Tamandua tetradactyla: one gene and its partners. The protein of the gene in region 1 interacts with the protein of each later gene in a pairwise test. Links are inferred from orthologs where the notes say so. Each region holds a gene or a part of one and is shown on either strand. Other genes may lie near its edges.

Region 1 (7,799 bases):
GCAAACCAGCTTCAATGGAGCTCAAGTGCCCCCCCAGTTTGGTGCTGGTGAAGGCGTTCCATGTGCCAAACAGTAAGCGTCCTCCTACGCTGACCTGGGCACTGGATGTCACCTGAAGCAGCTGATCTACACCAAGAACTCTATCCAAGGACGTTCAGGCAAGAACTCTATTCAAGGACGCACAGCTCCAACCCGGGGCCCTCAATTTCACGTACGCACTCCTCACTGAACTCAACCTAGTTTGGGGTTTCACGGCAGCTGGAAGGGCATCAGGTAACAAGGAGGCTTGATAATACGACAAAAAACTGAACTGTAAAGAGGCTAACATTTTGCATGGATTATCACATGCTCAAGAATCAGAATTTCAGTTTGGCCTCGATTCAACCACGCATTTCTCCCTCTCTGTCCAAAGTGACCTCGGCAATGGCCGGTAAAGTCAGACATGCCACATGCAAAGACAGGATGGCATCTCAACGGGAAAGAGAACAAGGTGAATGTTGAGCAAGCAGGTCTCGCTGCACAGCTGTGGTCAACAGCTGCTCTTTTTAATATTCCTTTCCCAGTGACCTGGGGCTACATCTACTCTCGGCTTTTTGGAAGAGCAGGAAGAGTCACAGCAATTAAAAAAAAAGACCCCCAGTTGGAAGCTCTCAAAGGTTAAGGAACTCCAACTGGAATCTCAAAAGAGAAAGTACGCCAACAAGCACTTGAAAGGACATTCGGCATGAGCATCAGGGAAATGCAGATCAAAACCACCACGAGACCTGCACCTCACATGCCTTAGGACAGCTCTAAGCAAAAAGGGAGATGATAATAAGTCGTGGCGACGACGTGGAGCAGCTGGAACCCTCGTGCACTGCAGGTGGGAATGGGAAACAGTGCAGCTACTGGGGAAAACGGCCTGGTAAGTCCTCAAGATGGTAAGCAGAGTTACCACTCGATCCAACAATTCCAAGGGAAATGAAACACATGGCCACCCAAAAGCTTCCAGACGAATGTTCACAGCAGCATGGTTTGTAATGAGCAACCCAAATGACCATTTCTGATGAAGAGACAAATACTGAGGTCCAGCCATACAACAGCTATCATTTGGCCAAGGAATCAAATACTGATGCTAAGTGAAAGAAGCCAGTCATAAAAGACCACATATTGTATAATTCTGCTTTTAAAAAATGTCCTGAATAGGCGAATCTAAAATACAAAAAGTAGATTAGTGGTAGCTGGAGTTGGGGGGTGAAAGCTAAGGGGCATAAGGCTTCCTTCAGGATGATGAAAATGTGCTAAAATTAGATTGCAGTGATGGCTGCACAACTCGGTGAAAATACTTAAAACCACTGAATTGTACACTTCAAATGGATGGATTGTATGGTATGTGGATTCTATCTCAATAAAGCTGTGAAAAGGAAGAAAAGAAGGAAGAAAGGAAGGGAAAGAAAGTGGCTGCCTTACAAAAGGCAGAAGTAGTCTAAGAAGGCTGAGTCGAAGAAACTAGTCCTGGCTGAAAAACCAGATGATGGAGCAATTCCCGTGCCGCTGATGAGTCCCTGGGGTGACCAAGCAGCCGCTGAAGCCGGATGGAGGGCGGCATTCCTTGGCATGACTGTCTCTCCGCCCCCATCAGCCACCCCACTCATGCGGCTTCTAGCACTTGGCCAGGCTTTTCCTCTGGGCTGTCCTGAGACCTATCAGCAGTGCAGAAGTTTCTCCAAACATCAGATTCTACAAACTCAGCAGCTCAGTCACACCTTCAACTTGGCTCAAGGGAAACTTGGCACTTGACGTGAGTTCAGGAATATTATACATTAACGACAGACGAGAGCAGTTCCTGCAGGCTGCCGGGCAGACCCTCCTCTGACACTTAGCTACCTACCCCACTGGTTGTCCCTACAGCACTGGAAACCATCCAATTAAAAAAGCACACAAATTCAAGCTCATCCCAAATGTGGTCCAAACAGGGATCTCACTTCCAGGATTTCATGTTTAGCTGCAAAAAGATAAAGCCCTCACCTTCACACTACATTTCACATATCAAGCGAAAGCAAAGGGGAATCACTGCATTAGACATATCATTTTGAAGAACTGAACTACCTCAGCCCAGTAGTTTCTCAATTACAATGAGATCACAGCTCACGTTAGAGCCTGGAGTTTACAGACCAAGATAGAATTAACATGAGGATGCAGTCCTCCTGGTCCAAAAAAAAGAGAAGAAAGTTACTTATTTCCATGGAACAGTGTGAAATGGAAAGTGATAAAAGAGCTACAGTTAGCAGGAAGAAAAACGTCCCCCCACTGACTTTGCTGGGAGACCTGTCTGTTCAGAAGAGAAGCGGTTTAGGATTTAAAATAAAAGAAGACTGAGGAGGGCTGCAAGGAGGGGACACGTCCTCTATTCTCTCCCTGCACACAGAAGCTGTCAGGCTTCACACGTGGACTATGAAACTCTCTGTAGGATTTCCAGGGAGGACCACTGTTTGGAGAGGCTTTGGGGGAACAGCCTAGGAGGTGGGGCGTCTGGCTAAGGAAAAAGGGGCAGAGGGAGGGAGAAAAGTGGGTTTCAAGGTAGGCAGGAGCAGGCATGGAGGAAAAATGGTTTTGTGGGGAGGAAAGATAAAAAGGGGTATTCACACCACCAACCTCCTTGGGCTGGGGAAAAATGTCATGTGTGCTACCGCTTGTGTGGGAGGGGAGAGGTGCTGGACGGGCCAGGGCAGGTGGCATTGTAGCCCCAAAGCCTGGTCCGGCCTGGCAGCAGGTACTCGAGATCCAGGTCAGGTAGGGGGAGGTGGATGGACACAGAAAGGAAATATCCATGTGAGACACAGAACTGGGTGAGTTGGATTTCCCAGCCCGCGGGTATCAGAGACTAGGAGGAAGCCCTGTGCCGGTGCAGATAAAAGTTAAGAACACAGAAAAGAGGGCTCCCTGGAGCAAGGAATGAGGAAGATGAAGGTATGGGGTGGGGAGGTCTGGGGGGAGAGCCCTGGGACACTGGAAGTAGCCAGAGCAGGGGGGGCAGGGAGTGGGCGAACCCTAGGACAGGAGGCCTGGGGGTGGGGGCAGCTGCGAGGAGCCGGGTGCTGGGAGCATGCAGAGGCTGGAACTGTGGGTGGTACCGCGGGGGACGCAAGAGGCAAGATGCTAACAGGCTGTGAGGAGCCCCACTGGGCGGCTCCCAGGGTGCGAGGGGCTGGTCTTGAGGGGAGGGGGGCACGGTCTGGGGACTCAGCTGTGGGTGGGGACTCCTGGGAGCTAACGGAATGAAGGGACTCCCAGGTAGGAGGGCTGACCACACTTTTTCGAGGGGGGGCTGCCCTGATCTTGGGGGATCCCTGGGACTGAGAAGGGGGGCCTGTTTCAAGTCTGGGAGAATCTGGCATGGGCCTAGCCTGTGGGGGGACCCCCGAGAGGGATGGGCAGGGGCTACTCCAGAGGAGACAAGTCAAGAAGAAGGAGCGGCCAGGCCGGAGTGGGGCAGTCATGGGGGGGCTCCGGATCCCGTGGGGGTCGGGTGCCGGGGAGCCAGGTCCGGCGGAAGGCTCAGGGAGTGCCGGGAGCCGGTCGCGGAAGCCCCGGGCCCGCGGGGACAGGTCGGGCCGCGGCTCGCGGAGTTTGAGGCGCCAGCGGGGCCGGTCCCGGGTGAGCTGCGGCGGGTGCAGCAGGCCCCGGCGGCCCGGCCTGGTCGGCGGCCGCGGGCTCGAGGCCCCGGGGCCCGGCTCCGGCCCGTGAACGCCGCGAGGAGGCCCTCGGGCCCGGCCAGCCGGCCCGGCGCTCACCTGCAGCACCACCTCCACGTCGTACGAGTTCCCCTTGCTCTTCTGGTGGCCGCGGAACTTGGAGCCGCTGTAGAGCAGGCTGGTGGCCACGCCAGGCTGCTGCGTGTTGATGGGCGGCGGCGGGATAAGCGAGGCCGCCGAGGCGGCCGCGGCACCGGCCGGCGGGGGGCACTCGGTGCGGACCGGCATCGCGGGGTCCCCGGGAGCCAGGGCTGGGGGGAGGGGAGAGGAACGGCCGCCGCCGCGCGGGAGCCGAGGAGCGCGGCGGGGAGGGCGGGGCGGGGCGCGCACGCGCGCGGCGGGGGCGGGTGGGGAGGGGTCACCCGCCCACTGCCTGCGGACCAACGCTCCGGCAGCCCCGGGACCCCGGGATCTGCGAGCTGGGCCTCCCCGTCCGGCGCTGGATCCCCTCCTCACTTGCCCTCGCACACACACACACATACACACAGACACACACACACACACACACACACACACACACACACACTCTCACTCACTCACACCAGTCCTTCCGATTGGTGCGGGCGCGCCGGGGGGCAGGAACAGGCTCAGCCGGCGCTCCCGCCCATTGGCGGGCGGAGGAAACACGTGGCAGGGTGCGCGAGCGGCCCTCTGGGACTTGTAGTCTTCCTGCCGAGGCGCGGCGTGGTGGGGCGGGGCCAGGCGCGTTTGTGATGCTGATTGACGGGGGGCGTGCGCCGGAGGCGCGCGGGAGCGTCGGCGCGCCGTTGGCGTCACGCGGAAGGTGACGGCGTCCCGGGGACGCTGAGGAATCCGTGGAGGCTGCGAGGGGAGTTCTCGTACGGCCCGACGGCGCGATTCGGGGATTCCTTCGCTCGGTGTTTCCTGCTCTCCGGCTTCGCGCCGCGCGTCGCCCCAGGCCCTCGGGAGCCATGTGGCGGAGCTGCCTCCGGCTGCGGGGCTGGGGGCGCCGCCTCCTGAGCGGGCCCCCGCGTGGCCTCGCGGCCTCCCTGGGGTCGGGGCCAAACCATTTGCCTCCGGCCCGGGCCTACGCGCCCCCGACAGGTGAGGCCAGGGTCCGTTCCGTTTTGGCCAGGGCCCGAGCCGGGCTAAGGTGGGCTGAGGAGTTCAGCCATGCAGGGTGGGTACCCAGGTAGGGTCCTGTGCAGACCCGGAAAGCGAAGCCCAGACTAGGGCAGAGCGGGCCGGAGGGCGCCCGGGTGTGTCAGCCCTAGACGGTCATTGCCGCTCGGCCCGGGCGTTTTTTCTCAAAGCTCACGGCTTTCGTCTCCTTAGCAGCGCAAGCTGGTGTGATCCCAGGTTTCGGACGGAGAGATTCGGGTTCTGAATCGGGACTTCACCAGGGTCACGCTGCAGACTTAGAGAGGTCGTGGAGGGCAAAGGTTGGCCTGCCTGGCCCCCCCCCCCCACACACACACACATACCGACACTTTCCCCCTCCGCCCTTGATGAGTGAGGCCTTGAAGAACGGTTTGGCCCTTTCCCTCCTGCTGGGGAGAGGTTTTTGGGTGGGAGGATCTCATTTTAGTGAATAAAGAGTAGTGACACTCTCCTTCCCTTCCCTTAGTTGCTTTATGCCGGAGGTAGGGTGTGCAGTGGTTTCAAGACAGGTGTGGTCCACCTTGAGAATGTTCATTGTCAAGTGCAGAAGATTATACTGTTCTGATTAAATAGGAAGTTATAATACAAAGAAGCTGCGACAACACAGAGACGCCCTGATTCCCATGTTGGGGGTGCTCAGGATCTAGAAAGAGTCGTGAGTAATAGGGCATTAAAGTTGGGCCTTGATGGATGAGTAGGAGTTGGGTGAAGAGGAGGAGGAAGAGTGTTAGGTAGCTAGAACACGTCCAGAGGTGACAGTGAGCCTGGTGTGAGGGACCTTGCTGTCACAACCTGCTCTCAGAAATCCAAACCACCCCAGGCAGTTTGAGGCACTGTGGCAGGAATGTAAGTCTGGTTCTAATGCTGGAGTGCTGTGTGATCTTGGGCATGTGACTGCTCTCTTTGGGGCTCATCTTCCTCTTTAAGTTAAAGGACTTAGTTTTCTCTGGACCCTTTTGGCTCCTAGGTAAAAGAATTTTATCCAAATGGGGGAGGGGATTGGATGTAGCAGGGAGTGGAGGCTTCATCCATGTATCTCATGGGCCTGGAGTGGCCCATGAGAAGCAGTAAACAGGAAGGAGGAAGGGCATCCCAGAGAGGCACAGCATGAGCAAAGGGGACACAAGCCGGAGTTTCTCAAGTTGACAAAAGCCGGGAGTTCGTGTTGGTTAGTAACTGCTCACGTTCCATCACGGTGGCAACTGATCTGCTCTCTCCTTTTCCTTTCCGCTGCAGACACAGTCGTGGAGGCTTTTGGCAGTACCTGGCGCATGGGAGGTGGTCATATGTGGAAAAAAAATTGAATGAATGAATGAGGTAGTGTGGGAGAGGGGTGCCTAGTATCAGGCCGCTGCATGCTCTGCAAAGACCTTACCGGATGGGAGAGTCTCTGCTTCTCGATGAAGGCTTCGACTGGCAAGGAGATTGAGCTTGGCCCCTGAGGACTGGGCTTGTCGCTGGAGGTTTTCCAAAGGAGAGGGGGCATTTTGGCAAGAGCCATTGAGATGTTGGAGAGGAGACCTACTTGAGGATGCTTGTGGCCTGGCAAATACCCTTGACTGCTTGGGTGGGAGGCGTTCAGGAGTGCTGAGTGCAGACGCGGTGCAGTCCAGGCTGTTTTTCACCACTTACGGCCTGGCTGTCACCTGAACAAGTCATTTAGCTGTGTCTTGGGCCTCAGAGGCAAGACCTGTTCCTGCCTTTCTCGTAGAGTGGTTGTGTGGATTGAGGGACATCCTGGAGATAAGGGGTTCAGCCCTGCAGCCTGTTTTTTTTCAATGAAGTTTTATTGAAACATAACCACCCTCATTTGTTTAGATGGTCTGTAGCCGCTTTCACCACCACAGTGGAGTTGAGTAGTTGCAGCAGATGGGATAGCCTGAAACGCCTGAAATATTTACTGTCTGGCTGTTTACAGAAACAAGTTTGCCAATCCCAGCGGTAGATGCAAGAACCATTTGGAAAATAGAGTGTGTTTAGTCATTTAGCCCATTTACATTAATTGCTGCACAAATACATGTGGCCTGAAGAATTTTTTTCTAACAGCTTTATTGTGATATAATTGATGGACCATGTAATATCCCCATTGAAAGTAGACAATTTAGTGGGTTTTAGTGTATTCACAGAATTATGCAGCCATCACCATAATTTTCGAATGTTTTCATCAACCCCCCACCCAAGAAACCCTGTATCCTTTGGATGTTGTCCCAAATCCCCCCTTTCTCCAGCCCTAGATAACTGCCAACCCTTTTTCTTTCCCTATGGATTTGCCTATTCATGACATTTCATATAAATAGAATCATACAGTATGTGTCCTTTTATAACTGATTTATTTCACTTAGCGTAAGTTTCAGCTTTTCACTTAGCATAATGTTTTCGAGGTCCATCCATGTAGCACATACTCCTTACTTTTTATGGCTAAATAATTATCTTTTGTATGTATAAACCAGATGGACACATGGATTGTTTACAACTTTTGGCTATTGTGACTAAGTCGTCTATGCACATTTGTGTATATGCTTTTGTGAGAACATGTTACAGGTATACATTTCTCTCAGGTAATATATACCTATAACCAAGATTTAAGAGTTAACAAATGACTGTGGTTACTGAATCGTTATATAGATGCTTTCTTATTTTCTAATATATTGTAGAACATCCAAAAATAAATACTGTAACTACTGAAACTCCCTGAACTGTAACCCAGGTGCCTTGATCTTTGATGGTGATACTTTGTTGTATAACTAAATAATCTTTACCTTATAACTAAAGCCTCATGATAACGCATAACGAGCTCTACATGTACCCCCTCATTTTGTTTTACAAATTTGAAGTCTTGTGATCAGGTAGATAGTTCTCTAATGTTTATTAACATAAGAATTTGAGTCAGCTCAGTACTAACTCTCCCCAATTCCTAGGCTACCTTTTTTTTTTTTTCTTTTT
Region 2 (7,811 bases), on another chromosome or scaffold:
GAGCAGCAAGCTCAGGAGCAGGCCTGGCAGGGCTGTGTGGCCCAGGGCGTGGGTCAGCAGCCTGTGTGCTGGGAGAAAGGAGGGGCATAGGTGCAAGTTGGGGGCTGCCCTACCGCTAGGGCTAACTTCTGAGCCAGCTTCCCCTCCCCAGGAGCCAGTCCACCCACTTAACCTTCATGGAGGGGACCACGGGCTTCCAAACACTGGGACAACTCCCCTGTTGTGTTATAAAAAGTCCAGACCCACTAGTCTTCTAGTGGCTTCTCGCCAGCAGCCACTGGTGGGCTCTTGCTATATCCCAGGAACTGGGGAGGGGGGCGTTAAGTACACATTTGCTGAATCCTACACCCTGGGAGCAGGGGTGCTGGTAAGACTGCCTGCCTGTTTCAGTCCTTGTACCCGCCCCCCCAATTCCCAGCTGGTGACCTTAGACAAGCCACTTAACCTCCTTGAAACCAAAAATTATTTGGTTTCCTCCAATGTAAATTGGAGCTATTATTACTGGAAAACGGGTGCTTAGCTGGGGTCACTCCTGGAACCCCCAGTACCTCCTCCCCCTCCTCATGCTCAGCTGAAGGCCTTACCTCTTATTTCAATGCAAAAGGGAAGCTGTCAGAAAAGAACTCCCACCCACTGGCTCCCACCCCACCCTGCTCGACCTCCACCTGAGTCCTCTGCCCTCTCTTGGCCCGGGGTGAGCTGGGCACATTTCCATCCAAGGCCAACTTTCCCCAGGGACCTAGGCCCCATCCCTGTTTGGCCACTGCAGGGTGCATCCCACTCCTACCAAAGTCATCTCTCTTCTGCAGCACTGATATTCCTGTCCTGGGCTGTTCCTGTCAGCTGTCAAGCACACTGCAGGTCTTTCTCTCCAGCCACTGCCCCATCTCTGCTCCTATTTACAGCAAGACTACTAAAAGTCATCACCCTTCACTGCCTCCACTGCCTTTCCTAGTCATGCCTGTCCCCTCCACTCTGGGGAAGCCACTCTTGCAATGAGCTATACATGGCCAGATCTGATGGGCAGCTTTGTGTCTACACTCACAGACATATAACATGGTCATCCTCTCCAGTCTAGGCTTCAGATGTCATCAATATGCTGATAACTCCCACATTTCTATCTCTGACACAGAATCTGCTACCTCCAGTCTCACGTGTCCAACAGCCAACTCACTCTCCCACTTGAATGTAAAATCAGCATTTCAGACTTCACATATCCAAAAGCCAAACTCTACACTGGGTTCCCTGTTGCAGTAAGTGGTTAACTCCATCCTCCGAGCAGCTCAGGCCCCAACCAAACCTCCTGCCCCTGTATTCTCTCACCCTCAGTTACTACCCCCAAAGCATCCCCTGCCTCCAGGGCCAGGCCATTATCTTGCATCAGGATCTTTGCCGTCACCCTCTCACTGGGCTCTTGCTTCAACCCGTTCCCACTTCAGTTGGTTGCTCACAGCAGCCAGGGGATCCTTCCAATGCACTCCAGTTGGAGCTGAAGTCCTACCACAGACCTCAAGGCCCCACATGCGCTCCTGCCCCCCCCCCTCCCATTAACCCCATTCCCATGTCCTCCTGGCAGTCCCACAAACACTCTGATGTATTCCCACCTCAGAGTCTTTGTCTTGCTGTTCCTCCTGCCTGGCTGGCTGCTAGCCTTGCCCCCTGCAGGGCTCTGGAAAATGCCACCCTGTCATGAAGGCCTTCTATAAGAGCCCTATCACTCACAGCTCCCCCCACACCATTTCACCTTCTTCTCAGCACCAGCTATGTATTCACTTGTTCATGTCTGTTTCCCCCTTCCAGAATGTCAATGCCATGAAAACAAGGACCTTGCTTTGTTCACTATTGCATCCCCAGCACTGAGCAGTGTATGGTACATGGTAGATGCTCAATGAATATGTGCTAACTAAATGATTGGATGGATGGATAGGTACTCATCAGATTCTAATTGTTTTGTATTATATAGTCATTCAGGGAACTGCTTGGGCAGCTCTGTCCAACTGTCCTTGATATAAGAGGAGCTGCTGCTGATATCCCTAGTTTCCAGATGAGGAAACCAAAGCCCAGAGATGGCAAGTGACTGGTCTTGGCTCCCCAGCAAGTCTCCTGCCTCCTCCAAGGCCTCGTGGATGGCCCTCACCCTGCCAGGGTTCCAGCAGCAGCTCCGGAGCCAGGGCGAGGCTGGGGCCAGCCCCCACCAGCCACAGACCACTCAGCAGCAGCATCAGAGCTGAGGAGGCCAGGGGCATGACCAGGGTCGGCAGGCCAGAGGTGCCTCTAGCATACATGGCTTGGCTGAGGGTGGTCGAGGGAGGTCCTGGGGCTGGATGCTGGGAATAAAGGAGAATAGTAACAGTGGTTATTATCATAGACTTTATCTCACTGACTCACTCTCAATGACCCTGCCAACAGCTCCATGTTGGAGATGTGGAAACTGAGGCTGGAGAGGCAGGCCACACAACCTGACCATGGCAGAGTTCAGACCCTAACTCATATGCCCAGCCACCTTGCCATTCTGCCTGCCCCTGTGTGAGGATGGGCAGTGGTTGAGAAAAAGGGCCCTGAGTTCTGATGGGCACTGAAGAGGAGTCAGGGGTAAAAGGCACAGAGCCAGGGAAGTCAAATTGGAGCCCAGAGCTCCCAGAAACAGGAGTGTAGCCCCTCAGGGAAAATTCAGGGCCATCTCCAGCCCTCCTATGCCTCCCTCTTCTCTCTGGGTGGGAGTCAGTTCATGCAGCCACCATCCCCCATTCCTCCCTCCACTGTGCCCAGCCTTAGAGCTCCTGCCATTTGGCAGCCCTAGACCCAGGGGGTGGAGCCTGCAAGGCAGTGTCTGCAAAGCGGGCCAGCCAGTGGGCAAGTAGATTGGAAGGAGAGTAAAGTCAAAAGAGTTGGAGGCAGGGAAACAGGAGTCCTGCCCCCTGCACCTCTACAAAATGTCACGGGATTGAGAAAAATCGCTTCCTTCGGCACAGCCCCTCTGGCCCTGGCCTACTCTTTCCCAAGGAAGGTTCCATTCTCTGAGTTTCCCCAGATCTGAGCCTCTCTCCTCCTAGGGTGAAGAGCAAAAGGAATGGGCTAAAGCAGGACCAGGCCCACAGCTCCCACTCAATAAACATTAGTGGCTAATCCTGGAAGGCAGGTGGAGTCACCAGCTCTGGGTGGCCAAACTGGCTCACTGCCTGGGCTTAGAAACAACTCCTCCAGCCTGGCTGGTCCGAGCTCTGGCCCACTAGTGCGCAAGACAAGGCCTGTCCTCCCTCCTCCTGGCAGCCTGTCCTCCCTCCTCCTGGCGGCCTGTCCTCCAGCCCTGCTGGAAGCCCCTCACCGCTGGCTAGGCCACCCTGCCTCAAGCCCCCCAGGAAGTAAGACCCTAGAGAGACAAGAAACGCTGCCTCACCTGCTCTCTTGCCAAGAGCATCCTTGGCAGTGAAACCCACCTGCCAGTTTCCAGCAGGAAAAATATGGAAAGCTCCTCCATCTGCAATATGCTTCCCTCTGTCTCTCCAACTGGCAAACTCCTATTCGTCCTTTGAAGTCTAGCTCAAAGGTCCCCTTGGCCTCCTCCGCCGGCCCACACTGGGGATCTTATCCTAATTTATGAGCACAGCTTGGCTTATCTGTCCTCCTCCTAGGCAGGCAGTCTGAGATCATGGAGGAGCCTCCTCTCACTTATCCCAAGCTCCCCAGGGTGCACCCAGCACTTCATACGTGCTCACCAAAAGAAAGATGCATTGGCTCCGGGTCCCACTAAGGAATTTGGGGTGAGACCTGTCTTTTGCAAGTGCGAGCCTTGCCCTGAGGCTGGGTCTGGGTCCAAGGCCCATCTGCAAGCCTTCTACTACTTTTTCACAATCACTCCCTCCCAGGCCACCTTGCACGTCAACATGCATGGCTGGGACTTGAACTTTTTGGGGCCCAGATTCTTCATCTATATAATGGGACTGTCAACGATCAAGCCCTGCCTACCTTAATAGGAAGCCGGGAAGACAGAATGGGAAGACAAGGACGGAAAAGTTCTTCCGGAGAGTGGGAAGGTTAAAGGTCCCAGGGTATGGGTCAGACTTTGTGACTTTGGGTCAAGTACCAAACTTCCTTGGGCCTCAGTTTCCCCTTCCGTAAAAACAAGGGCGTTAGATGGGGATGACGAAGGGACCTTCTTAACTTCGACCGTTAGTGGGGGCCTCTCGGGGCCGGGCTTAGCGTTCGGACCTCCCACCCAGCCTATGAGCCCCCGGCCCCCTACCACGCTGCCCGCACCACGTGTCCAGGGTACTCACTACAGAGCGCGCCCTCGACCCCGGGGAGGCCGCGCGGGGCACCCGCCTAGGAGTCAGGACTCTACCCCACCGCCAAGGCCCGGGAGTCCCGAGCCCATTCCTCACACACCTGGCGCGTGACCCCTACCGCCTGGCCGGCACGCCGCCCGCCGATTAGTCAGCAGTTGTCCTAGGCCCGGATCCCTTCCCCCAGCTTTCCCGCCGCCCTCCGTTTCCCTCCAGGCCAGACTCTTCACAGACGGTCCCTAGAGCCAGAGGACGTAACCATTCCGAACAACCCAGCTTCGTGCGGAGAGTTACCTCGGTTTGATACCGAGATCTGTTCAACGGCCGCTCCGGCTCCTTCAGTGCTGTTTTGGCCCGCACGTCACATCCGGCGCTCTTTAGAGAGTACTAAGACTAGAGTTGCGGGCGGTAAGGGCGAGAAAGCTGAGGTTCCTCCTTGTCCTCCCACACCCCCGTGGCCTGGTCCCATGGTAGCGTCCGAGGTTGCGGGCTTCGCGCCTGCGCAGTGCGGCGCCTAGAGGGAAGGCGAGAGGGAGACGGACGTTGAGAGAACGAGGAGGAAGCAGAGAAAATGGCGTCCACGGGTGAGTGAGGTGGAACCGCGGTCGCGCCGGCGTCGACTGGGACGCCCAAACCAGGGGCCACTCGTCTCTGGAGGTGGCCGGGGCGACTGAGTGGGGTTGCCGAGAGGGGTCTCAGTTGCCCGCCACAGCCGGACGGGCTTGGAGACCCGTGTTTCCCCCCCTCCCCCACCGGGCGGGACGGTTCTAGAATCTTCCGGCGCCTCCCGCGCGCGGGGGGCTTGCGGCGGCGCGCGGTGACGAGGGCGCGCGGGACCCGTCGAGGCCTCCATTGTGTGGCGGCCGTCGGCCCTGCGCTCGGGGCAGCCCGCCACGTGGGCGGGGCCTGCGGCCTCTGGGTCGCTGCGTGGGGCGCGGGGCTGGAGGTGGTTGCTTGGTTGGGCTTCGAGTTGGCGTCTGCAAAAGTCCGTGTGGAGGCGGCCCGGTTGGCGCGTGGGAAAGCCGTGGACCCGCTGCCTGTGTACCCTACCCCCTCAAACACACGTTTCCTGAGAGGTGGCTCGAGCCCGAGGGCGACCCTACCTCCAGGAGAAGCTTAGGGGAAAAAAACAACAAACAAAAAAGGCGTCGCGGATTTGTGGGCCGGGGGGCGCCGGCCTTTCGCTCGGCCTATGAGCGGGAGCCCCGTCATCCCTAAGGCCGGGTCGGCTGGGGGAGTCCGGAGCCACCGAGCTGCTCCCTCCACGCGTTCCAGCCCCAAAGCTGAGTTTCTGCTTCACTGGGCGCTGGGCGGAATGTGCTCCATCTTTTTGAACCCCACAATCGGCTGCCCTCTCGGGCTTTTTGGGGTTTTTTTTTTTTTTTCATTATTTGTAAACTCCACTTCCTCCTTTTCTCAAAAGCTATTAAGTGATTCCTAGAGTCCATTTTTATTGCAAACGCCGAGGGAGATCTGTTGTATAATAAGGCCAGTCTGGATTGCGAGGCCTGAATTTCTATGGAAAGAAATTTCTGGGTTCTTCGACCTAAGAGGAACAAAAGGTCGGCACCAGTATTTGAATTGTGCTTAAGCAATCGTTTCACGCGTTTAATAGCCTGCGTCGGGCCGATAGGCTTATATATTTTGTGGGCTGCTAAAAGAAGAGGGAAAAGAGGCTCTCGGTAGACATGGAAAGAAAGCCAGACTTGTGAACTCCAGAATGTGATGTGTGAGGTGGTCCTTGGTGCATGGAGAATTTTTAAAAAGTGTACTTAAGCACCTGCCGTTTTGCAAACTGTCCATTCCCTAGCTGGCGGTTATCTGCTAGGTCCAGCAGTTTTGCCTCTGGAGATATTCTTAGGCCTCCTGATTCCTGGCCTTAGAAACAGAGGAGATGAGAGGGGAAGACAGGATAACCTCTGGGTCGTTCAGAGTTTTCTTCAGAAAAGGGTCCGTAATCTAGCAACCTAAAGATATATTTCTCATTTTACCGTACTGTGTGATTAGTAAAACGGGTAAATGCTGGCTGTCCAAGTTTGGGATGGGCAATGGTTGAATGTTACTGTCCCTGCCCTGCTGAATCCTGGGGAGAGGGGTGCAGATGTGTACCTTCAGCATGGCTGGACATGTTTTTCGGTCAGTTTTACTCAACTTCCATTGATTGTTGTTGACTGATTTTTTTAAACTACAATTACAATTGTGCTTTATGCAGACACAATAGTATTAGGACAGGGATGGGAAGTGGTGGTGGTGTGAGGCTTTGGGGAGTCATGTAACTTTTCTGGACCTTAATTTTCTTTCTTGTAAAAATGAGTGAACGAGGCTAGATCTTTTAGGGACTTTTTGAGTCCTTAACTTCTGACCTTACAGCAAAGCATTTTGGTTTCCACAAAGTTGCCCCATACTGACTCTAATGCATTATGTAGTTGAATATTTAAATCTGCACAGTTTAGACAGTGACTGCCGTAAAGCTGCTGTCTTGGGTAATAATGCATGTTTTCCCTCTTGTATATATCATATATAGAAAAGCACCTAAAGCCTATGTCCATTGGAACACAAAGAATTACAACGCAGACTCCCCAAGTAACCACCACCTAGGTGGAGAAACAGAATATTGCCAGTACCCTAGAGGACCCCCTGAATTCCAGCCTCTTTCCTCCTCCCAACCAGTCCAGTATTTCTAGTGAAGTCTTCAGCTGCACATTTGGGAATTAAAAAGAGAACACAATTGGTCACTAAATAATTTGACCGGGGTATAATTGAAGCATATTTGAGGCCATATAATATCCATGCTGTATGTAATTCTCATGAAACAAACTTGCCATCTCCCTTAGGAATTGGTGAGCCCACTAGGGTAGGGTGAAATCTTCTAGTTTCATGCCAGTCACATCTTCAGTTCCATATCATCTTTGCCAATTTTATGTTTTACATAACTATTCTTGTGTAAAAGTCCTATTGCAAACAGAATTTACATGCCAGCGATTTAGAATCATTTCTCATTCAGAAACCTCAACAAAATGTTGGCTGAAATATATGTTTTCACATGCTTTATTGGTGTGTTTATTTTGTGAATGCCACATGGAAGAAATGGTTCGGTTTACTTTTATATGTCACATAAACGTCATGAATTGTAGTGCTGATGAAAATGCCTTAAGGCTATCTTAAATCAATTTGTTCAATATAGGTAGCCTTTGGGCAGTTGATTTGTTAATGTTGATGATTCAGCATCCTGGGGGGGGCGGTGGAGGAAAGAAAGTGTCAGGTGAAGTTTGTGAGATGGAGAAAGATAAACCAACTGAATGAGATGGATTCTGTAAAATACACCCAGGCCAAGATAGAGGGCTCTGAGGCCAACTTTGGATGGAATGGGGTAGAACCACACCATAAAAAGCTGAACTATAAACTGTCGCGTTTGGATGGTGGACTACTTCCTGATTGGAAGAGAGAAGACCCTTTTGTCCTGTCCTTTTGGCAGAACCATCTTCAAACAGAACAAAATATGAATTCTTATGGAGAAGACAGATGAGA
Region 3 (8,100 bases), on another chromosome or scaffold:
GCTGCCACAAAGACAGAAGCATTGACCGATGGAAACAAATTGAGAGGGCATAAATAGATCACCAAATCTATGGTCAACTGATTTTTGACAAGGCCCCCAAATTCTTTGAACTGGAACAAAAAAGGCTTTTCAATAAATGGGCATGGAAGAACTGGATCTCACTAGTCAAAAGAATGAAAGAGGACCCGTATCTTACATCTTATACAAAAATTAACTCAAAGTAGATAAAACACCTAAATATAAGAACTAGCACCATAAGGCTTCTAGAAGAATATGTAGGGAAACATCTTCAAGACTTACTATTGGGAGGTAGCTTCCTAAACTTTATACCCAAAGCACAAGCAACAAAAGAAAAAATAGATAAATGGGATCTCCTCAAAATCAAATGCTTCTGCACCTCAGAAAACTTTGTCAAAAAGGTGAAGAGGCCAACTCAATGGGAGAAAATATTTGGAAATCACATATCAGACAAAGGTTTGATTTCCTGTATATACGAAGAGATCATACAACTCAACAACAAAAGAACAAACAATCCAATTATAAAATAGGCTAAAGATATGAATAGGCATTTTTATGAAGAGCAAATACAGATGGTTCAAAATCACATGAAGAGATGCTCATTTTCACTGGCTATAAGGAAAATGCAGATCAAGACTACAATGAGATACTACCTCACACCTATAAGATTGGCTGTTATTAAGCCATCAGGAAACTATAAATGTTGGAGAGAATGTGGAGAAACTTGGACACTTATGCACTGCTGGTGGGAAGATACAATGGTGCAGCCACTATGGAAGACTGTTTGGAGGTTCCTTAGGAAACTGAATGTGGAGCTGCCCTATGACCCAGCAATAGCACTACCTGGTATATACCCAGAAGAGCTGAAAGCAATGACACAAACAGACATTTGCACACCGATGTTCATAGCAGCATTATTCACAATTGCCAAAAGACGGAAACAAACCAAATGCCCATCAACAGATGAGTGGATCAACAAAATGTGGTATATACATATGATGGAATATTATGCAGCAGAAAGACAAAATGACGTCCTGAAGCACATGACAAGATAGATGAGCCTTGAGGACATAATGCTGAGTGAAATTAGCCAGACAGAAAAAAGGACAGATACTGTATGATTCCACTTTTATGCCCAGTATGAAGGTATAATCAGAGACTTATAATATAGAATACAGGGGACTTGGAGATGCTTAGAAGCTAGAGATGGATGAACCATTAGCTAATGAGGTTGAACTCCAATGCAAGGGAATAGATAGGAGTGAAGGTGATTCTCTAGTGGGTCTAGAAGTAATTTTACCATATTGAAGATGAACAAGATTGAAAGGGATTGTATAGACCTATGTATCTCACTGACTCACACTTGAAATATGAATGAGTTCTTGTAAGAATTACTTCAAAGATTTGATTCTTGTATAAAGAGTGTTTAAGTCCAGGGTACAGGGGGAAAACAGCTATTGCATGCTGTGAGCTATGTTCAAAAGGAGACCATCAGCATTACCACAGCAACAGCAGAGGTAAATAATGGGGTGAGGGACAAGAGTTAAGAGGAAGTTTAGATCTCCTATTTGGTCAGAGTATGTTTATTGGTTTTCTGTCTCTTCGGAGCAATGAAATTATCTAAAATTGAGAATGTTGATGGACTGTGGACGTTAGGCCCGATGAATGCTGGTGGCTGTAGGATGCAGTGATGGAGAAGTAGAATGGCAAATGATGGTGTATACTTATGAACAATGCTGTGCTGCTACAAAAAGGAACATTGTCGTGAAGCATGCAATGGTGTGAATGAACATGTAGGGTATTTGGTGAGACAAAATAAGCCAGAAGCAAAAAAACAACAATGTTATGGTCACCTTTAGAAAATGCTTATAAGAAAACAGGAGCCTAGATTTTAAGCTTTTAGAGCAGACACATTAGGTCCAGAGTGGTGATTATTATTTCTGGACTTTGACATATATATATAAATAGATATATATATAACCTGATATTTAGAGATAAGAACAAAGTCAAGCAGGTTAGGGTTAAAGTAATTCAGAGCATAGGGGTAAGGAAGACAATGTCTATGTTTTAGAACCACACATACTCTTTCAGAGCAATGGAAGAAAGGTTTATTTGGTCTGGAACTGAAATTTTCTGTAGTGCATAATCTAATTCAACCTATCTGTATAGCTCATTTGAACAACTGAAACACAGAGAGCACAGAATGAGAAAGAGGCCCTTTAATCCTGTATAGATTATTAATGCCTGGAAACATCCTAGAGTATATTAACCAGATAATCAAAAAGTATTGGCAAGGTCCCCTGAGGGAGGGGAGAAAGACTCTGGAACTATTAAGCCTTACCATCAGGGAATCCCTGATACTGTGTCAAACTTCAGGGACACCCAAATCAATAAGCCATGCCCTCGATCCTGAGACTTACTCTTGTGAAGCTTATGTAGGTAGCCTAGACGATTAGAGTAGGCATGCCTAAGAGTTACTTCTGGAGGACCTCTGTTGCTCAGATGTGGCCTCAGTCTCTCTAAGCCTAACTCTGAAAGTGAAATCATTGGCCTCCATGCTACATGGGAAATGACATCCAGGGGTAAAAGTCTCCCTGGCAGTGTGGGAGAGGACTCGCAGACCTGGCACTGTGGGATCAACAATTACTTCCTGACCAAAAGGGTGAAAAGAAGTGTAATTAATAAAGTATCAGTGGCAGAGAGAGTTCAAACAGAGCTGAGAGGCTACTCTGGAGGTGGCTCTTATGCAAGCTTCAGGTAAACTTTGCTACCTATTATAACCTGCCAACCCCCAACCAGGTCCACTCCAGCCAATTCTAAAGAATACCTAGGGCAACTTATAAGATTCCACAAGGGTTTCAGGCACTAGAGTAACTTGCCAGAAATCTACACTCTCCAGATGAGTCCCTGGTCCAGACAAGTTCTGCAAACTAGCCCAGCCTCTCCAGAACATCAGATACTTCCATCTCTCTATCTCACATTAGTGGCAGACCCTTCCTATATAAAAATTTTACAATTGCCATAGCCTGAACAACCCCAATGCGAGGTATGGAAAGATCAAAAGTGACTTAACAAATGAATAGGAATGCTGAATCATTAAACTGATATCTCTTTTAGTCTCCAGTATTTTAGAGCAGCTAGAAGTAAAAACCTAAAATTGTGAAATTGTAACCCATGTTAAAAGTCTGAAACATGTTCTACAACTAATTGTGGTGCTGTGCTTAGAAATATATAGCTTTTTTGTATATATGTTATTATTCACAAAAAAAGAAGGAAAAAAAGTCAATTGTGATGATAAAAAAGAATATATGCCTCCTATATTCCGGAGCAGCTAGAAGGAAAAATATGGTAGCCCACAACAAACTCTGGGATCTGTCCTGTAACCACTTTTTGAAGAGTGCTTTGAAAACTATTGCTTTTTTATTTCTTTGCTTTGTATGTATGTTATATTATGCAATAAAAAAAATTTTTAAAAAAAGGGTAAACAGAGGTCACTAGGCTCAAATAATTCCAAAAACGTGCAGGGCAAACTCCAAAAAAAAAAAAAAAAAAGTGCAGATAGTAGCTATTATTGGGAAGAGGTAGTGATTTTTAGGAGGTAAGAGGGGTCTTCTGAGATGTTGGTTGTCTCAGCGGTCCCATGACCACCCACTAGTTCAATAATTAGCTAGAAGAACTGACATGGTTGAGGTCCTTCCCTCAACATGAAGTTATATTCACACTTAAGATTTATGACAGCATAGGATACAGCACAGGACCAGCAGGAAAAAGTTATGCACCAGCAAAGTCATTAGAAGTCCAATCGGCTTTTAAAATTTTTTTTTACAATTAATTCTTTTTTTCAAACTTTTTAAAATTGCACAATATAACATATACACAAAGCAAAGAAAGGAAAAAGCAATGGTTTTCAAAGCATTCTTCAACAAATAGTTACAGGACAGACCCCAGAGTTTGTCATGGGCTACCATATGATCCTCTCAGATTTTTCCTTCTAGCTGCTCCAGAATATGGGAGGCTCGAAGGAATAACAATTTTTTAATCATCACAATCTACTTTTTTCTTTCTTTTTTTTGTGAAAAATCACATATATATAAAAAAGCAATAAATTTCAAAGCACAGCACCACAATTAATTGTAGGCCAGATTTCAGAATTTGGCATGGGTTGCAATTCCACAATTTTAGGTTTTTACTTCCAGCTGCTCTAAGATGCTGGAGACTAAAAGAGATATCAGTTTAATGATTCAGCATTCCTATTCATTTGCTACATCCTATCTTCTCTGTATAACTACACCATCACCTTTGATTTTTCTAGCCCTCTCTTTAGGGGTATTTGGGCTATGGCCATTCAAACAGTCCAACAAGCTTTTTTGCTTCTTTCAGCAGGTATCTCAGGGAGCGTCTTCTCTGGATATGAATTTCAGGGACTTATGCCAGATGTTTGTGCCCAGGAAAGTCAGAATGAGTCTTGAGTTCCAAAGCTCTTAAATGGAAGAACTTATCTGGTACATGGCCAGCCATGGTGTGAACCCCAAAGCAATCCCCCAATGCACATCGTGAATCCTGGTGTTTACTTTACATGACAAACACAGTCCGTCTTGACCCAGTGCTTAGGGATATGGACTAATATGATTACCTAGTCATTATGTGAACATTAGAGTCTTTTAGTTCTCAGAGTTGACCAAGGGTCATCACCATGGTAACACACTTAAAGGGGAACTGGGTGAACCAGACCTGCTGTGCTAACTCTTTCTGCTCACTTGGCAATGCTCTTTCTTCTTCTGAGGACTGATTATATGGGTACGTTTAGTTTGTACTTACGTGTGCATATTATACTCCAAACATTATATTTTTTTAGTGATTTATGTAGCAGCCCATCTTCATCAATTAGGGCTATTTTGAGAAGATAAATACCTTTTTGCAGGTTCTTGTAAGGTTACTGAAACCCTGGGAGGTTATCAACACAATATTAGCCATCAAACCAAAATGGGCTCACCTGACATGCACAGTAGCTTAGACTTTAAGCTACAAGTCACCTATACCTCATTCTGCCATTTTCTTACATTCATTGTTTGACTAAGCAGGAATCAACATATGCTCAATAATCAGATCACCGCTAATTACATCATCTGGGGCCACTGTGTTCCTTATCCTAAACCCTGCCCAATTTTTCTCTAATAAAGTTATCACAATTACTGTGGTTCTGGGAGACAGACTTTGGGCCACTAGGCCATCTGCTCTCCTACTATACGCTTAGCAATAAACTCTTTCTCTCTTTGGAAAAAAAAAGTAATAATAATACTAGGAAACATTGGGGACTATCAAAAACAGGAAAAACTCTAAATCTAAGAATTATTAAAGTAAGTGTAAAGAGAGTTAGAGTGAATTAAATCTCCTATACTCAGTTTCAGAATACTTCTGAATGTGTGGCAGTAATTATGAGGAAAATTGTGGTCCTTTTGGCCATTCTTGAAGTGTCTGAAGTGATCAAAATAATCAGGCATATCAAATATGTAATTCAGATCCAAGTTTTTAAGGGAATTTAATCAATTGCATAATCTATGTTAAAAGTGGTTCAAAATAGGTTTTCGATTTCTTTGTACGATATTTTTAATTTAAAACGTGAACCCAAAGGCCTGGGTCCTCCCAGCGGGTCGTTCCGAGGATGTGGCTCTGGGGTCTGGGCTCCAGGTGGCGGGTCGCCGGACCGTCCCTGGGCGGTGGCCACAGTGGCCCAGGAGGCCAGAATGAGCAGACAGTTCCATTCGGCCTCTCGCCGCCCACCCGCCTCTTTGTCCTCTGGGGCCTCACAGGGGGCAAAGGCCTTGGTGGGGGGCATCTTTGTAGACCCAGTGAGCTCGCGGGCAGGAGGGCTGTACCTTCTTCCAGAAGCTTCCATTTGGAGGTACTTGAAGGCCAGACCCAAGCCCCAAGGGGTCCCTTGAGTGGTGCAGGTTGGACACAGCTGCAATGGGGGCCTGGCCTTGGGGTCTCCCCTTGAAGACCGAGGGGCTGCTGGTGCTGTCTGTGTCAGGGACCAACAGCGACTGGAATAGGCCCAGGTGTTGTACCCCAGGACTTATCTCCCAGAGGGAAGAAGGCGGATAATTAGTAAGCAAATAAATAAATTAATAAGCTAATTTGAAATAATAATAAGAGCCCTGATAGGAAAAAAAGACTTTTAAAATACATGTGCAATAAAAACTCAATAGATTTGAGTTAAGTTTGTCTTTTACTATTAATTAATTATGTAATCTTGAGCAAGTTCCTTCAGCTTTCTTATCTGTGCAGTGAAGGGGGCAATAGCTTCCTTCAATGAGATGGTCTATGGCGCTGTCCTAAAGGTCCAATTTTGCATTTTAGAAATTCACTGCTTTGTTACCATTGGCTAATCCAACAAATGCTTTGTTTATCTCCCATGGCTGGGGCACTAGGTTAAGTGACATAGAGAAATGGAATGTTGGAAAACACAGGATTAAGAGCAGGGCATGCAAACATCGAGACAACTCCAAGCAAGGAAATGAGGCCAGAGTGAGCCTGAGGAGCTAAGGAAGACTCCGGCAGTATCTGAATGGTATCTTTGTGAACCAATAGGATTTCAACAGGAAAAAGGTAGGGGAAGCTAATGGTGGAGGAACACTTACACGAAGGCTTCCTGCATGGAAATGCCAAAGTTTAACAGAAAAAAGGTTGGCCTTGTTGGCTTGAGGATTATGAAGAGGATGTGGAGAAATGAGACAGTAAAGAAAGATTTGCACTAAACCATGAAGGTCCTTAACTTCCATGTGAAGGACTTTGGGGACAATGAGGACCTGAGAAAGTTTTTAGGGTGAGGGAGAACATAAGTGGACCTGGATTTCAGATTCACATTCTCAAACAGCAAATTAGTTCCCTAGGAATCAGATTTTGGGACAGAGGTCAGTGTTTGGGGAGTTTATTAAGCAGTATCCTTTGGACACAATGCCCTGGGACAGGAGGAGAAGAAAACAGAAGCAGCAGAGGGAGAAATCGAGAGGGATGCAGGCCCCGTGGCATCTTGGCCAATGCTCCAGGGAGATCTGGGGTGGCCTTCAGAGCTGACCCAAAGTTGACCAACAAAATCTTTAATCATTGGCCATTGCTTCGGGGCTACCCAGGAAAGGCTGTGGCATTGGACAAGGCCATTTTCTTCCACTGAGATGATCCCATGACTGAAGGCTGCCTACTGACCACACACCCCGGGATAAGTGAGTCCTTCACTGTAGGGGGATCTAGGTGGTGCTTTAGAACTATTCAGGGGCCTTCAGAAATCTGGTTTTCACTCCAAATTGGTAGCCATGGAGGAAAGCCAGGCACTTTTATTTTAAATGAGCTTCCCTAATGATTTTTTAAAAAATTTTTATTCTAGTAATATACAGACAACCTAAAATTTCCCCCTTTTAACCATATTCAAATATATAATGCATTGCTGTTAATTACATCCATAATGTTGGGCTGCCATCACCACCATCCATTACCACAACTTTTCCATCATTCCAAATAGAAACTGTACATTGTAAACCTTAATAGATGATTTTGGTGCACAGAAATTTGATAACTTCCCTTCTACATAGTCATTCAAAAGCATTGTGTAAAGACCCTGGCCAGGCCTAACCCCTTTGCTTTTGGCACATCTTTTCTGCCCCCAATTACTTTTCTTTAATATTCACAGACACTCTATGAAAGGAGCAAAGCTGGTACCTGCATTTTGCAGAAAAGAAAACTGAGCTTAGAAAGCATCATTGACAGGCCCAAGGTCACACGGCTGCTCAATTTTACTCAGGTTCGCACCTGCCCATTACTGCTCCAAGTCTCTTTCTAGTATTAAAATTTTACTACTGTATAGATAATATTGCTCTTAAAAAAATGAATGCCCTTATTATGCTTAGAAACTTCTCAAATGTTATGTCAATGGCCCTTCTTGCAAAAATTAAAGTTTGTCTCTGTTGTGTTAACCGTAGATTCCCACTGTAATGTATCCAGCATTGATAAACATATGGGGTAGGCTTTTGATCCAGCAATAGTTTGGCTTTAACTCACAACACCAGGTACTGAAAAGAAGTTCCA
Region 4 (7,520 bases), about 140 Mb from region 1:
TATTGGGGCATCACTCTTGGCAAGCCTATGAAATCTTATGCTTTACTCAAGGTTCCATGTACTTACGGTGTTCAATTAAACTGTCCATATAAGTTATCTTAGGAACTGCACCAGTCAAAATATAAATTTTGTACCAAATAAACATTTTTTGCTTTAGTCTCACACAGAAGTTAAAATTTTAAAATATTAATTACCATATATTTTCAACACCCTGCAGTATTGACATTCCTTTGTTCTTCCTCATGCAAAAACATTTTTAAGTTTGTACATTTAGTCACTATCATTATACACTCTAGGCATCCCTAGATTATACCATCTCAGTCTTAATCGTCTTTCTTTCTGATTTCATTTGTTTCCCCAACCTTCCTCCCTCTATCATTCTCACATTGAGCTTTATTCAGTGTTCTAACATAATTGTATTACAGTTAGGTAGTATTGTGCTATACGTTTCTGAGTTTTTATGATCAGTCCTGTTGTACAGTCTGTATCTGTTCAGCTCCAATTACCCTATATCTTACCCTATTTCTATCTCCTAAGGGTCTCTGTTTCCAGTGAAATTCTCCAGTTACCCTATATCTTACCCTGTTTCTATCTCCTAATGGTCTCTGTTTCCAATGAAATTCTCCAAGTTTATTCATTAATATCAGTTCATATCAGTGAGACCATACAATATTTGTCCTTTTGTTTCTGGCTAATCTCACTCAGCATAATGTCCTTAAGTTCCATCCATGTTGTTACATACTTCATAATTTTATTGTCTTGCAGCTGCATAATATTTCATCGTATGTATCTACCACAGCTTGTTTAGCCACTCCTCTGTTGACGGACATTTTGGCTTTTTCCATCTCTTCACAATTGTAAATAATGCTGGTATAAACATTGGTGTGCATATGTCCGTTTATGTCCTTGCCCTCATGTCCAATGAATGGTATTGCTGGGTCGTATGGCAATTCTATACTTAGGTTCCTGAGGACCTCCCAAACTTCCTTTCACAGTGCTTGTACCATTTGACATTCCCACCAACAGTGGATAAGCATGCATCTTTCTCCACATCCAGGGAGGGGTTTCTTTACAGGAATTTGTCTTATCTTGCCTATGTGCAATTTTACCCATGCTCAGCACAGGTGCCCTGTTTATGTGTAGTTCTGACTGCTCAGAGGAATTTGGACGATTTTTAAAGAGGAGGTAGTTTAAATGTGTAAGGAGTGGTGACAGGCCCACCTTCTGCAAGGGGCCTGCTTACTATACTATCACAAGAAAGATTTTTAAAAAAATATGTCTGCCCAAGCCAGTTTACTATCTCTGTGTCAACTCAATATTAATAACATTACATTTTAAAGTAATATTGCATAAATTAATAAATATATATCAACAAGGCATTCTTAAACTTTTCTTGTAGTTTTTGCAGGCAATTTACTTGACACTACCAGTTAAAATTAAAATTTTCTGCAGCTTAAGTCCCCTTGGGGTAAGGTGAGAAAGGGGGAAAATTCAGCTTCCCCAAGTGGAGAATTCTTGATATTCTCACAAGCAGTGGGGACAACCAAAGCAGTAGGCTGAGACACCCCAGTCTTGGGGTTTGTTCATATGAAATTTAACCCCACAAAGGACAAGTCAAGCCTACTTAAAATTAGGCCTAACGTCATTCCCAAAAGAACCTATTTTGTTGCTCAGATGTGGCCTCTCTCTTCAGCCAACACCACAAGCAAACTCACTGCCCTCCCCTTCTCTACCTGGGACCTGACTCCCAGGGGTGTGGACCTTCCTGGCTACATGGGACAGAAATCCTAGAATGAGCTGAAACTCAGCATCAAGGGATTGAGAAAACCTTTTAGACCAAAAGGGGGAAGAGCGAAATGAGACAAAATAAAGTGTCAATGGCTATGAGAGGTTCCAAAAAGAGTCGAGAGGTTTTCCTGGAGATTATTTTTACACATTACATAGATACCACCTTTTTAGTTAAGGCGTAACAGAGGCTGTAGGGAACTGCCTGAAAATGTAGAGCGGGGTCCCAGTAGCTATGTTTCTTGAAGATGATTGTATAATGATATAGCTTTCGCAGTTGACTGTGTGATTGTGAAAACCTTGTGTTTCATGCTTGTTTTATCTACCTTATAGACAGATGAGTAAAACATATGGATTAAAAATAAATAAATAACAGGGGAAACAAATGTTAAAATAAATTTAGTAGATTGAAAAACTAGTGATCAATAGAAGGGAGGGGTAAGGGTATGGTATGTAGGAATTTTTTTCTGTTTTCTTTTTATTTCTTTTTCTGAACTGATGCAAATGTTCTAAGAAATGATCATGATGATGAATATAGAACTGTGTGGTAAAAAGAAATGTTCATATTGTATGTTGATTGGTTTTATTAATAAAAATTAAAAAAACATTTTCTGCAATTTGATTCACGTTAGAAAAATGTATCAGCATTTATTGATTTGTATTATTGTAAAGATTTTCATTTAAAATCAAAATTCTCTTACCTGTCTAACTAGGTCACAAATAAACCTTTCCTTTTCTTGAGGCTTTAGATTTAGCTCATCCATGTGCAGTGTGATATTGATGATAAAACATAAATTGCACTGCCATTTTTTGTCTTTGATTATTGAATATTTGGCAGGCATTCCTTTTGTTTTAAAAAAGTCCTGAACTGAAGTTAACAGTACAGTAATCTTGTATAAAACTTTTTCATGACTTAGCCAGTATGAATTGATGAAGAACGATGAAATCATAAATCAGTTCTCTATTTCTTTCAACATCCATAAACTGTCAGTGAGTCATCGCATTTGCACACATATTCTGAATGAGTTCAACAACTCCATTTATGGTACTTTTCATAGGGTCTGCTTCGGAATATTAAGCACAATAATTTTAGCACGCACATAGTACATACTCAATATCCATATTTGAGTAGCAGCTACTATATATTGGATAATGGAACTCTAGACTTTTTTTAGGAAACATTTTCACATGTATGTATGCATCTGTAGTCTGCACCTACAGATACACACTCTCCACCCTCAGAAATATATAACTTTTCATATATTTTGTAAGCATAATGACCTACACTGTATTTATTGTTATTTTACTTGCTCTTTCCACTTACCGGATGAAACAAACTTGGAGCTTGTTTTATGTTAGTTCATGGAAAACTGGGTTCTTTCATTGTAGTGCTGCCTGGAGTAGAGCAGTGCATAGTCTGCAGATGATGGCCTTTGAAGTTACTTTTATTACCATGCAAGTGCATAAAATGCTCATTTGAGTATATTCTAAGGTAGAATTGTTACCGAACAGAAACCGTGGATTGTTCTCCCGGATGCGCTCAATAACCAATTCCTGAAACATCAGGGTTTCAAATACAGAGTTTATTATAGCACATAGTAGGAGAGCATATGGCTTTAGGGCTCAAAATCTGTCTCCCTGTGTTTAGGGAGTTCAAGGTTTTTGAGGATTTTAGCAAGGGAAGATGAGGTCATTTCAAATACCTTGTCCAAAACAGAAAAGGGGACTGTGCTATCATTATCATTTCAATAGGAGAACATAAACTGACAGGAGGGGAGGTAGAGCTGTCACTTCAGTACTCAAGGTGTAAGCCAAAAGGAAGGAAGTAGTTAATGGCTGACTTCATTAGCATTAGGGCCTTTGCTCTACAAGAGAATGACCCGATAAAGGGCCTAACAGCTCTTACAGTCACAAAGGCACAAGATATGAGGGCTTTTACACTCATTTCAGTTATCAGGCAGCTAAATTATAGTTTAGGGTTTTCAGATATTCCCTTGTTTTTACCCCAGTATTCCAGAAAGCAAAAAGGAATATGACTCAGTAATCAGAATCATCCCTGAAATCCTAATTTCTCAGTTACAGATTCTAAGAAGGAAAATTTTGAAAATTTTATGTATGTAAAATATTAATAGACATATTACTAAACAAAAGCAGGGAGTCCTCAGCTGATACACTCAAATGAGGAATTCCTGAGGTACTGGGGTTTCAAAGAGAAAGTTTATTGCTAAGTGGGAAGCAGACCAGATAGCCTAATGGCCTAAAAATCTGTCTCCCCTAGTCTAAGGAGTTTAGGGTTTTTATGGATTCAAAGAAGGGAAGATAACATTACAATAACAAGTATAAACAAGGGCTCAGACTAGTTGAACAAGTTTCAGTAATATAAAGTATTAACTTGTGGCTAATCTACAATATACTAGAAAGTAAAAAATAAAATCTATATAATGATTCAGTAATCACAGTGAAACTCCTGTTATCAGTACAGAACAGTACTTTCCCCTACATCATCATCCATTCTTGACATTTTCAGTCTTCCAGCATTTTGCCAGTCCTTTGGATGAAAATCTTTTTTAGTATACATTTTCCTGATAAGTGGAGATTGAACATTTTTTTGATATTTTCATCACTTCATTTTTTAACATAATATCTGTATATCTTTTGAAAATAACAAAATATTATTTTTAGGAAGTATATACCCTGACAGTGTTCTTACTTACCTTTGTTTTCTTTTTTTAAAAAGCTCAGAAAAAGTTAAAATGACTTTTAGTACCTGTGGTCAAGTTGTTGTTGGGGCAGGTCATTTGCAATTTGCACCTGTAGGGAGAGAAATTATTGGCACTACTATTAGTTTTCTACAATTTATGGAGCTGTAAAACTGCTCTAAAACAATGAAAGGCTACCACCATTGTAGAATCAGATTACCCAGTAGGGTACACTAAACAACGCCTGGCATTTCTTAAGATATTCAGCAGTCTTTTACTTTTTTTTCCTGTCAGTTAGTTAACACACTTAAAGTTTCTAGCCATTGTCTGGTTTATAGTGAGAGCTCAGTAAATTTAATTTGCTTCTCTTCTGTTGAGAGAATGAAAAACAGGATAATTGAAAATTTCTGTAGAGTTACAATCCCCTGAATAGGGGCTGTATCTCACATTGTTTTCATAGTGCTTTGAATGGTGGTTAGGGACATTTTTATTAGGTATTTAGTATGTGACTGGATGGAATATGTTAAAGTCTGTTTTAATTCATTCCCCATATCTGCAGAAACATGAGAAAATAGGTTCATTTTGTTTACATTGTTGTTTATCATGTTTTCAGACTGGGATTAGAAAATATATTCTAAGTATGTAAAATGGTACCCTTGCAAGCATCTAGCCTAACTCTTTCCTTTCATAGCTCAAATTGTGTGAGTAGAGCTAAATAAAAAGTCCTACTCCATTTTAATAGCAAATGAGAATTTGGTGTGTGCGGTCTTACCGCGTGATTACGTTGTTTCTCACCATGAATGGTGATTTTTTACAAATGGTAAAGCAGACGAGCATATTCACATGGAATAATCCATTGCTTTAAAAATATCCATTTTTATCTGTTTTTTAGATTTTGGTTTTTTCCCAAAATTTCTTGTTAAAAGCTGAAAAAAATATGTAGGGGCTCATGTAGACTGTAAAATGAAGGAGAAGCTTAGCTTTACTGTGAATTCTGAGTGTGGGTGTAACCTAACTAGCTAGAGGATATGCAATTCCTGATTGACAGCAGGACCAGCATTATGCAAATTTTGTATGAGAGAACTGCCGCTCAGAAACAGTGATTAGGGGCTCTGTGGAATCACTACATTTGCCACTCACATCTTTAGTTTTTCATTTTTCTGTGTACTGAATTTGTAAACAAATGGCACAAAACATTCTTCTTTTGTTTTTATTAAAATGGTTCTGCGATGCAGTTTCAGTCTATCAGCTAGGCATACATGTACAGAAATCAGATACTCACTAAATTAGCTAATTTTTAGCTGTGTTCCATGCTTATCTCTAGACCTTTGTGTATTAAATCCTATCTCGAGCTGTTCTCTTTATACACAAGTGTGTTTTGCTTGTGCCTTCCTGTCTTCAGTGAGAAGCTTTATGTAGGTCAGGCTTGGCTTAAGCAGATTTCCTGAACCTGCGTCAGCTTAAGCTGGAGGAATTTTAATAAACCCTCCCCTGTAGGCGTGGGCCTAAATGAGGCTAGCCTAGTTAAGCCTGATCTTTTTCTGTTTGTGAAAAGAGCTGAGCAGAGCTGAAAGCTGCATGGTGGTTTTAGAAACTGCCTACTTAATTTGAAAAGAACGATGGTAGGAAAAGCTAGATCTTCGAATTTTACCTTATCTGAAAAGCTTGATTTGCTAAAGCTTGTGAAACCATATGTTAAAATTCTCGAAGAACATACTAATAAACATTCAGTAATAGTGGAAAAGAATAGATGTTGGGATATCATAGCGGTTAACTATAATGCAATTGGAGTAGATCGCCCTCCTCGTACAGCGCAGGGCCTACGCACCCTTTACAAAAGGCTCAAAGAATATGCCAAACAGGAGATATTGCAGCAAAAAGAGACCCAGTCAGATTTTAAAAGCAATATTTCTGAGCCAACCAAGAAAGTTATGGAGATGATTCCCCAGATTTCCAGTTTTTGCCTGGTAAGAGACAGGAACCACATACAAAGGTAAGCTTTATTTTACGTTGTTGTGGAAAATTATGGCGCCTCCTATCTATTGGGGTTTGGCTTAGTTGTGATAGATATGCATTGTAAGCATCCCCACTAGGGGAGCAATGAATAGAGTCTTTGTTTTGCATTCTTAAAAGAGGAAAGTGAGGCTATAAGGAATTTTTCTGTTGCATTTTATTTGAGCTACTTTTTGTTGTCTTTCCCTCTCTTCACCCTTCCTTCTGTAGTTTCTAAAGGTGAAGTAGAGAATAAATGAGATGAAATTTGTAACATCATTTTATAAACTTTTTAAGCTTTAAAATTAAATGATTTAAATTTCTTCTAAGAGAATTATATCATTAAAAACTATATTTCATTGGGATTTTCAATTTTATATATAATTTATAAAAAGTTTAAGGAGAGAGGGAACTTTTGCTTTTATAATCTTAACCTTTTTTTGTGAATTTCCACTGCGATTATTGAATATATTTACATTGAACTATAAATAGATCTAAAATCAGTAATTAAGTAAACTTTATAATGGCATGATTGTATATTAAAAGAGTTTAAATTATTTTTCTAACATATTTTTAATTATAAGATGGACCCAAGGACAGGAAGTATATGCCTAATTAGGGATTCAAATTACTTAATAAAATTAAGGGTTTTTTTTTTTGTTTTTGTTGTTGTTCTTAGTGTTCATTAATGGTCTAGTTTCACTTTGAACATGGGTCATACAAAAAAGGTAATCTTTCATATATTGCTTTGCAAGGATATCAAACTACTAATATTTTTTCAAACTATTAATCTTAACATACTCATAAGAACAACTGGGTATTTTGAGTGTTAAAAATAGTCAGTTTTTGGGTTAAATTAGTACTCTGTAAACCTATTTGCCTAGGAATCCTCAAAATTTTTGTCTTGCCATTAATTCATATTTTAACTCCTGGCAAAAGATAAAACTGGCAGCTATAGTTCTTATACTCTGAACCATTTAGATTAATTTAAGCTCATTGTAACCTTGCAAGTTGAGGGATCTTTCAAACAAAGCTTTACAATGT

What was found.
Region 2: the proteins of ATPAF2 (region 1) and EWSR1 interact in binary tests that used the Homo sapiens proteins (3 or more experiments, as listed by UniProt). The two-hybrid records come from large-scale screens. The link is inferred for Tamandua tetradactyla from reciprocal best matches to the Homo sapiens genes ATPAF2 and EWSR1.
Region 3: the proteins of ATPAF2 (region 1) and PAK5 interact in binary tests that used the Homo sapiens proteins (3 or more experiments, as listed by UniProt). The two-hybrid records come from large-scale screens. The link is inferred for Tamandua tetradactyla from reciprocal best matches to the Homo sapiens genes ATPAF2 and PAK5.
Region 4: the proteins of ATPAF2 (region 1) and FSBP interact in binary tests that used the Homo sapiens proteins (3 or more experiments, as listed by UniProt). The two-hybrid records come from large-scale screens. The link is inferred for Tamandua tetradactyla from reciprocal best matches to the Homo sapiens genes ATPAF2 and FSBP.

What each region holds. Positions count from the first base shown.
Region 1 is NC_135332.1:1,682,569-1,690,367, reverse strand, and holds the start of ATPAF2 (ATP synthase mitochondrial F1 complex assembly factor 2), read left to right. Parts: upstream 1-4,495; 5' UTR 4,496-4,666; coding exon 4,667-4,799; intron 4,800-7,799. Other genes in the region: GID4 (glucose-induced degradation protein 4 homolog), read right to left, coding at 3,774-3,962. UniProt on the Homo sapiens protein: Plays a role in the assembly of the F1 component of the mitochondrial ATP synthase (ATPase).
Region 2 is NC_135331.1:33,760,602-33,768,412, reverse strand, and holds the start of EWSR1 (RNA-binding protein EWS), read left to right. Parts: upstream 1-4,466; 5' UTR 4,467-4,854; coding exon 4,855-4,867; exon of another isoform or gene 4,868-5,057; intron 5,058-7,811. Other genes in the region: RHBDD3 (rhomboid domain-containing protein 3), read right to left, coding at 1-68, 2,138-2,285. UniProt on the Homo sapiens protein: Binds to ssRNA containing the consensus sequence 5'-AGGUAA-3'. Might normally function as a transcriptional repressor. EWS-fusion-proteins (EFPS) may play a role in the tumorigenic process.
Region 3 is NC_135327.1:50,970,985-50,979,084, forward strand, and holds the start of PAK5 (serine/threonine-protein kinase PAK 5), read left to right. Parts: upstream 1-4,718; 5' UTR 4,719-4,815; intron 4,816-8,100.
Region 4 is NC_135332.1:137,796,797-137,804,316, reverse strand, and holds the start of FSBP (fibrinogen silencer-binding protein), read left to right. Parts: upstream 1-4,456; 5' UTR 4,457-6,103; coding exon 6,104-6,477; intron 6,478-7,520. UniProt on the Homo sapiens protein: Transcriptional repressor that down-regulates the expression of the fibrinogen gamma chain. Represses transcription of GSK3B gene promoter via its interaction with APBA1.